Linked DNA regions of Canis lupus familiaris. The protein of the gene in region 1 purifies or fractionates together with the protein of each later gene. This does not show direct contact. Links are inferred from orthologs where the notes say so. Each region holds a gene or a part of one and is shown on either strand. Other genes may lie near its edges. The genes, in order: STK11 and COPS4.

Region 1 (4,315 bases):
GGAGCATGAGGAAGAGGGGGGCAAGCACAGGCCCACAGCAGTTCTTGGGAGAAAACCACACAAAGTGGGCACGTCCTGAGCCTCCCCCCAAACTTGATCACAGACGTCATTTTTTTAAAAAAAGCTTCTAGTCCAAGCTGGGACTCCTGAGGCTTGTCTGGAAGGTTCCGGACACTTCACTTGGGAAAAAGCAATTGGAGTTTATTAAGCCTCTCGAAGACAAAGGAGCCTTTTTTTCCCTGCAGCCGGCTGGCAGCAAGGCTGACCCGGGAGCCCAGACCTCCTCTTGCAAGGACACCCCTTTCCTTCTCATGAAAGCCGGGTCCTGAGCTGATGAAACGGGCCAAGTGCCCTACCACTGTGACACCTTATGCCAACTGCCAAGCCAGCTGGGGACTCCCAACACTGCACCTGCCAGGCCTCAGTTTCCCCTCAGGTTCTTCTGATGGACACTGCAGGACCGAGCGCCCTGCAGCCCCAACACTGCACACCCAGATGTCTCCACCAGCTCTGGGGGCCTTGCTGACCATTCAGGAAAGCAGAGACTGGGACGCCAGCGCCCGTCAACCCCCCAGTCAGGTTCTGGTCATGTGTCTCCATGGAGCATCAGGGAACTCTTGTAGGTGGCAGTCTGACCCTGGGTGTGTGCCGTTTGTCAAGTCTCACACCGCGCGTCATGACCGAGTGCCCGCACAACAGGTACGTTGTGCCTCAGCATAGACAGGCATGTGTCCACCGCAACAGGGGTCCGCAGAGTCCTGGGGCCTGCTCCACTCTGCTGCCACCAGCCGCCCCAGAACCACTAGCAGGGTGGGCTTGGGTGCCCCAGCCACAGGTCAACTGGTGCTAGAACCCAGCCCTAGCCCTTGAACGGGACTCACGGATTCTGGGAACCTCGAGGCGCTGCTCCCAGAAGGCTGGGGTCTGGGGAAGCCCCAGCAGCACGGAGCAAAGGAGCCAGCACCCGAACATCTGCACGGACCCGGCTGCCTCCAACTAGCAGGGAAGGGACCGGCACCCTGCTGCCCACACATATCAGGGGATGAGACTGAAGAGGAGCCAGGAGGACCAAGGTGGACCTGGGACACTGGGGGAGGAGCTGTTTCCAGGGCAGGAGCTCACTGTCCCCCACCCCACAAGGGTGGCAAACAGGCAGCCCGAGGCCACATAACTCCCAGGTGCGTCTGGCTTAATGAGCCAACAGGACTTAGAAGCCAGGGGTTGAATGGGGATTTCTGACTGGAGGTGAGGGTCACCTGGACCTCAGGGGGTGCTGGCTTGCCACCTGCCTCAGTCTCCCCCACCCCACCTCACAGGTAAGAGGCTGGCCCCAGGGCACCCGGCCATCCCTTCTCGGCGCCCACAGGCTGGGCGACCAATGAAGCATCCCTCAGGTCACTAGGGATAAAAAGACCTCGCCACAACACCGCCAGGCTTGCCTTCGGACCGCACGGGAAGACGACCGCCCCGGCCAGCTGCGCATCAACAGCAGAGCCAGTCCGGTTTGGGTTCCCCGTTCCATCCACAGCTTCACCACGCCCAGACCCAAGCCAGCCCGGAGCGAGGGAACACAGCTCAGCTTCTGCGTGAGAGCCAACCCGGCCAGGAAGGGGGAGGTGCACGCGGATAGGGGAGCAGCACTTTCCAGGATGGGCCTGGAGGGACGTCCAAGGTCGTCAGTCCTGCTGCCTGGCCCGAGAGATAAACCCCTTCTGGGAAACTGGAGGCTGGGAGGAGCAGGAGCCCAGGCGGGGCGGGGACCCAGTGGGTGGCAGCCATGAGGAGGGACGCCCCCTCCTGAGATCAGCGAGAGGGATGGAGACGCACCCCCCCCCCCCGCCCCATCCTTGGGGGTTGGGGAGACTCCAGCACAGACTTCAACACCTCTGCGACGCCTAGGGGCTGACGCGCCTGAAGAAGTTTGGGTAAAAAGTTTGCCAGGACACAATCTGGTTCCTCTCCCAGGGAGTCACCTGGGCCTGCAGTCACGGATGTGTCTGGTGTCACATCCCAAGTGAGTAAGAAAAGGCTGAGTTACCCCCTGCTGACCGATAAGCCAGGGCAAACAATTATTTTTGGCAACCGCAGGGCTCCCCTCCAACAGGGTAAACAAATCGCATTTCGCCTGGCCCTAGTAACAGCTGCACGCTGCGCTGCGCAGAAAACCTGCTGGTGGTGGCCAGGGCCGTTTAGGAACACAAATTCTCAGAGCCAAATAAACATTGGCTGGTTACACTGGGCACCTAAATTCTTTCGACAGCTGGGAGGGTGAAGGGGGGGGATGGGACGCACCCTCATCTGGAAAAGGCTTGGACGCCAGCATCGGAAGGAAGGGGACACCCAGCTGCCGCAAGCTGGCCTGACTCGCCGCACGGTACCTGAGCAGGTTCCCAACAACACCTGCCCTGGGGAGGAGGACACGGGAGCTGCCCGGGCACCTCGACAGTTTAAGGAACGGGAACAAGCAAGAAGGAAAGGGGGGAGGATGACCGACCTTGCTGGCTGCCCGCGCAACGACCCAGGAAGTCCACACTTACTTCTTGACGTTCGCCTCGCCGTTGGGGATCCTCCGCAACTTCTTCTTCTTGAGAATTTTGACAGCCCTCCTGCACAGCGTCTCCGAGTCCAGCACCTCCTTCACCTTGCCGTAGGAGCCCTCCCCTAGCAGGTCTCCCATCAAGTACTTGCCGATGAGCTTGGCCCGCTTGCGGCGGGGCTGGTAGATGACTTCCGTGGAGTCGATGCGGTGGATGAACGTGTCCATCCCCACGGACATCAGCTCCCCCTCCGTAAACATGCCCAGCTGCTGCGGGTCGGCCACATCCATTCTGGACCCAGCGCCTCCGACTGTGGCCGGCGGTCCCTTATCTCCCTTATCTGCTGCCCCTGGTGCGCGGTTCTTCCTTTTGTCCCCCTAAAATTCCCTTCTCCAAAATAAAAGGCCCGAAAACAAACCCTCCCTCCCCCCCCCCAAAAAAAAAGTCAACAAAAATGCAAAAAAAGGAAAAATCGAAAAAAAAAAAAAACAGGAAAACCCCTGTCCGGAAAGAAACGATTGTACTAGTCGTGAGTTCAAGAGGCGCGCGTGGCCCGGAGCCCCGGCGGCCGCGGGCGCGGGGCGTCGCAAGTCTGGGTGCCTGCCCGCCTCGCGGCTGCGGGCCGGGCCGGCGCGTCCACGGGGGCCCTCCGGAGGCCGGTGGGGCTTCCGAGCGCTAGGTCATCCTCCAGGGACTTCAGACCCTCGGACGAGCGCCGCTGCGGCCGGGCCGAGTCCCCTCCGGGCCGGGCATCACCAGCGGGCCGGGGCGCGCGCCCAGACAGGGCCCCGCGGCGACCCGCCGGCCCCCGGGCCCCGGGCTGCGCAGCCGAGCGGTGCCGGCGGCCGGGCGCGCTGCTGGGGGCGGCTCCCGGCGGGGCCCGCCGTCCCGGGGGCCCGAGGCCGCGGCGGGCGCCTCTCCGGACGGCGCGGGGCGCAGCGGCGTCCGCCCCCGCCAGCCCCGGGCGCGCGTCGGGGGGCCGGGGGGCTGCCCGGGGCCCTCCCGCCGCGGGGAGCAACTTCCGTCGGAGCCGGCGCCCCCGCAGCGGCCGCCCCCCGCCCCAAACGGCAGCCCGCGCTCGCTCTCGGCCGCGAACGCCGCCGGCCGCGGGCCGCGGGGCGCGGGCACCCGGAGGGCTCCGAGCGGCCGCGGCGGCGCAGGCCGAAGGCCCGGGCCGGGGCTTCCCGAGGCCGCCGGGGCCCGGACGGCGAGCGCCCCCGCCGCAGCCGCCGCGCGCGTGGAGCAGGCGGGGCGGCGCGGGGGCCCAGCCCATGCAAGGCGCCGCGGAGCCGGCCGGCGCCCGCCGCCGCCGCCGCCGCCGCCTCCCGCGCCCCGCCTCAGTCGCGGACACCCCGGGCCGCCTCCCCCTTCCGCGCCCGACACGCCGCCGCCATCTTGTTTACCTCCCGCCCCCGCCCTGCGCCGCCGCGCCGCCGCACGCCCGCCCCTGCCGCCGCCGGCGTGCCCGCCCATTGGCTGAGGCGGCAGGCCCCGCCCCCGAGGCCCGCCCCGCCGCCGCCGCCGATTGGGCCGTTTGGACCCAGGCGGGCGCCCAAGTGGGGATTGGCTCACCCTCGGCCCCGCCCCGGGGGCGGCTACCGCTCGGCTCATTGGGCCGCCGAGGCGCCCGTCACGGGGAGGCGGGGCTGGCGGGAAGCGGGCGCGCGGGGAGTCGCTGCGGCGGCTCGGCCTCGGAGGGGCGCGGGGCGGCGGGCGGGGGTCGTGGGCGACAACGGCCGCCTGGGAACGGCTGTGCGGCGGGCAGCGCGCCCGCGGGC
Region 2 (3,809 bases), on another chromosome or scaffold:
GAAAGAATCCCAAGCAGACTCCCGCTGAGCATGGAGCTGTCCAGGGCTCAATCCTACAACCCTAAGATCATGACCTGAGCTAAAATCAAGTCAGATGTCAGATGCCCAACCGACTGAGCTACCACTAGGCACCCTGAAAGTTGACTTCTTAGTTTAAATTCAAAACTAAAACTTTTTCAAGAAAAAAATGGTACATTAGATCCAATAACTTAGAGTTACAGATTCACTTTCTTGTGGGGGGCTTGAAAACTTTTTTTTTTTTTTTTTTTTTTTTAAGTAGACTATGCCCACAACATGTTTGGGACTTGAGCTCATAACCTGCTAGATCAAGAGTCTCATGCTCTACTGAGTAAGTCAGCCAGGTGTCCCCAGGCTTGAAAACTTTTAAAAAATTGTGGTATACTGTAAAGAAAACTAGAAGTGATCCTTTAGCATTACAGATTTAGTGTTTTTTTTTTTGTTTTTTTGTTTTTTTTTTATGATAGTCACACAGAGAGAGAGAGAGAGGCAGAGACACAGGCAGAGGGAGAAGCAGGCTCCATGCACCGGGAGCCCGATGTGGGATTCGATCCCGGGTCTCCAGGATCGCGCCCTGGGCCAAAGGCAGGCGCTAAACCACTGCGCCACCCAGGGATCCCAGATTTAGTGTTTCTTGTGATAGACCAGGAACTTATAACAAAAAAAAATCTGTGCTGTACTATAAAGAAAATAATAAATTAGATCAATGTGAAAGAAACCAGGATAAATAGAAATGAATAAACATCAAAGTTAGCCTTAGTGTCCTCTGAACATTATTTTTATTTGGTATTGTTTTAGGTATCGTCAGATCCTGGAAAAAGCCATTCAGTTATCTGGGGCAGAACAACTAGAAGCTTTGAAAGCTTTTGTCGAAGCAAGTAAGTGGAATGAAAATTCCATGTTTGCCTTGTATTATTGAGTTAGGACTTCAAAGCTTGAGCAAGCTTGTTTTATATCAAATTACCAATATAATTTGCATTGAGATTAAATTAAATATACATTGAAATTGATTTTAGAATTTAAACTATTTACCACTTGATTTTTTTTTTTTTTAGTAAGTTGTCTTCAGACTTACATTACCAATTACCAATTAAGGTTTTGTATAGCTATTGATATAGTAACTGATGAAAGACAATATAGCATAATGGTAAAGAGAATAGTCTAGATTCAGTCTGGTCCGTTGTTTTATTAGTTGTGTATTCTTGGGTAAGTTATTCCTTTGTGCCTCCATTTCCTTGTCTATAAAATGGGGATATGATAACTACCTGGTAGAGATGTTAAATGAGTTAAATGCGGTTAAATGAGTTAATATACATAGTAAAGTGCTTTAATAGTACCTGGCATATAATAAGTGCTACATAAGTGTTAACTGTTGTTAATATTAAGAACATTCCATTTGAATGGAAACTACAAATTCCTGTTCTTCAAGACATTCTCATCTACTTCTTGACTTTAGACATATCCAGTTATCTTGAAAATTACTCAAAATTCAGGCTGGAATTGATACTGAGTTAATATTAATGACACTTGAGAGTGCTTTACAGTCTGTAGTGTGCTTTCACACACATTATCATCATGAGAAGTGCTAGTTTGTGTAGTAATTTCTAACAATTATAAGTGCCTAATGGTACTTACAATGAAACTATTTTCTCAGCTGTATCCAGTATTATCCAAGAATGAATTGTGATTATTATATCATAAACTGATTAGAAGCTTGTTACAGGTTATTGTAAGTTACTGCCTCAAAAAATTGGGGCCTGCAATGTGTGATGAACTGATAGTGACTTCAGAAAGACTGTTAGGAATAGTATTATTGAGAATATTACATTGTAGTAGCAAAAGAATAGTGATTTTTATTATAAACTTTGATTCCGATGAACCACGAAGAAAAGCCGTCTACTGAAAATCATTTATATCAGCTGAACAGGTTTTGAATCATCATTTATTTTCCCAGTAACTGCCGATCTCAGACTTAATTTATCTGAGCAGTGGTCACAAGCATGATACCTCTTTTAAAATATAGTAATAGTGATAATAATAATGAACATTTGTTGAGTACTTTGTGCAGCGTATTGTTTAAAGTGTTCTATAGATAGTACATTTAAGCTTCACAGCAGCCTTATCCACAATTTACAGATGAGGAAACAGAAGCACAGAGAAGTTAAGTTTCTTGTTTGAGGGTATCTGATCAGATGCAGTGGAAGTAGCATGGCTTCAGAGCTTTCATCCTTAATCACAGATAATAATAAAAACTCATAAATGTTTATAAATAATGTCATTAAATATGTCTGTACATCTAGTGCTGACCTCAGTTCTCATTTGTTATATTTTTATTGGAAAAGTACAAGTGGCAGTAACTGTCACTATTTGTTTTATTTAAATTTCATAAAAATTATGTTTCTTCTTTAACTCCTTTTTGTAACTAGGTGGGATATAAGTATGTAAATAAAAATATAGGTGTTTCTGTGCCTTCCCTTTATAGAAAAATAAGGAAAAATACAATATAAAATTCTCAAATGTAAAACAAAACTTTTCCCCAGTGATTTCAGTTTTTTAGAAAAATTGTGGGATTTTTTACTGTTTTGGTGTAGTCATTATGTAATCAAATAATTCAGCATAAGGAAAACTGATTCTCTAATATAAGATGATATGGGTCTTGAAATCCCTGAATAATACATTGAAAGTTGCATTAATATATATTGTTTTAATATTAATTTTAGATAAAAATTTATTGCTTAGTGAAAAATTATAAATTACTCATGTTTACTTATGTCTTATCTCTTATTCTTTTTTGACAAGTGGTAAATGAGAATGTCAGTCTCGTGATCTCTCGACAGTTGCTGACTGATTTCTGTACGCATCTCCCTAACCTGCCTGATAGCACAGCCAAAGAAATCTATCATTTCACTTTGGAAAAGATCCAGCCTAGAGTCATTTCATTTGAGGAGCAGGTAAAAATCTAGAGCTGTGATTTTTGAACATGAGATAGCAGCAGTTTTTTGGAGAGATATTACCATATTTTTAGAGAAGATGATTATCCAGTCTTATTTTTGACAACAGTGTGCCAAACAGCATATTACTATGTAAAAATAAATATTACGGTGTTATAACTCTAGCTGATATTTCCTCAGATATTACAATTTGATTTATGAACCAAATATTACTCTTTAGATAATTTTTAAGAATCAGTAAAATTGTTAATAAGGCTATAAACATAGGAAAACTCCAGCATTATATGTGCAGTTAACATAAAAGGAAAGTTTAATATTTATACTAAATTCTTGCTATAATCCACATTGCAAGAAATGTGTTTTTTCAGTTCAGTATTTTGATATTCTGTGAATGCAAAATTCATTTAAAAAATAATTGGGGTGGTCTAGTTAAACTTGTACTATTTACATGCCAGCTAAATATGTTAATTGGAAGCATTATTACAATAGATTAACTTAGCATCCATTTATTTTAATTAGTCACTAATGTCAGTTGAAATAATTTAACATATCCACCTCTTATTCCAGGTTGCTTCCATAAGACAGCATCTTGCATCCATATATGAGAAAGAGGAAGATTGGAGAAATGCAGCCCAAGTGTTGGTGGGAATTCCTTTGGAAACAGGACAAAAGTATAGTAAATAGTAGATATTGGATGGACATGTATATAGGCTATGTATCACTGTTCACTTATATTTTTTTCTCACATTCTAGTGCAAAAAACATCATAAATAATTTAATAAGTACATATATGTTGTAGTAATTAGAAGGTGATACGTGCTATAGAAAAAAGTAAAGGAA

Evidence for each region.
Region 2: the proteins of STK11 (region 1) and COPS4 purify together in Homo sapiens (affinity purification with mass spectrometry; 4 studies listed by BioGRID and IntAct, with this or other methods). This does not show direct contact. The link is inferred for Canis lupus familiaris from reciprocal best matches to the Homo sapiens genes STK11 and COPS4.

Annotation. Positions count from the first base shown.
Region 1 is NC_049241.1:58,056,823-58,061,137, forward strand, and holds the start of STK11 (serine/threonine-protein kinase STK11), read right to left. Parts: upstream 2,966-4,315; 5' UTR 2,828-2,965; coding exon 2,538-2,827; intron 1-2,537. UniProt on the Homo sapiens protein: Tumor suppressor serine/threonine-protein kinase that controls the activity of AMP-activated protein kinase (AMPK) family members, thereby playing a role in various processes such as cell metabolism, cell polarity, apoptosis and DNA damage response.
Region 2 is NC_049253.1:33,023,883-33,027,691, reverse strand, and holds part of COPS4 (COP9 signalosome complex subunit 4), read left to right. Parts: intron 1-816; coding exon 817-896; intron 897-2,817; coding exon 2,818-2,969; intron 2,970-3,536; coding exon 3,537-3,640; intron 3,641-3,809. UniProt on the Homo sapiens protein: Component of the COP9 signalosome complex (CSN), a complex involved in various cellular and developmental processes.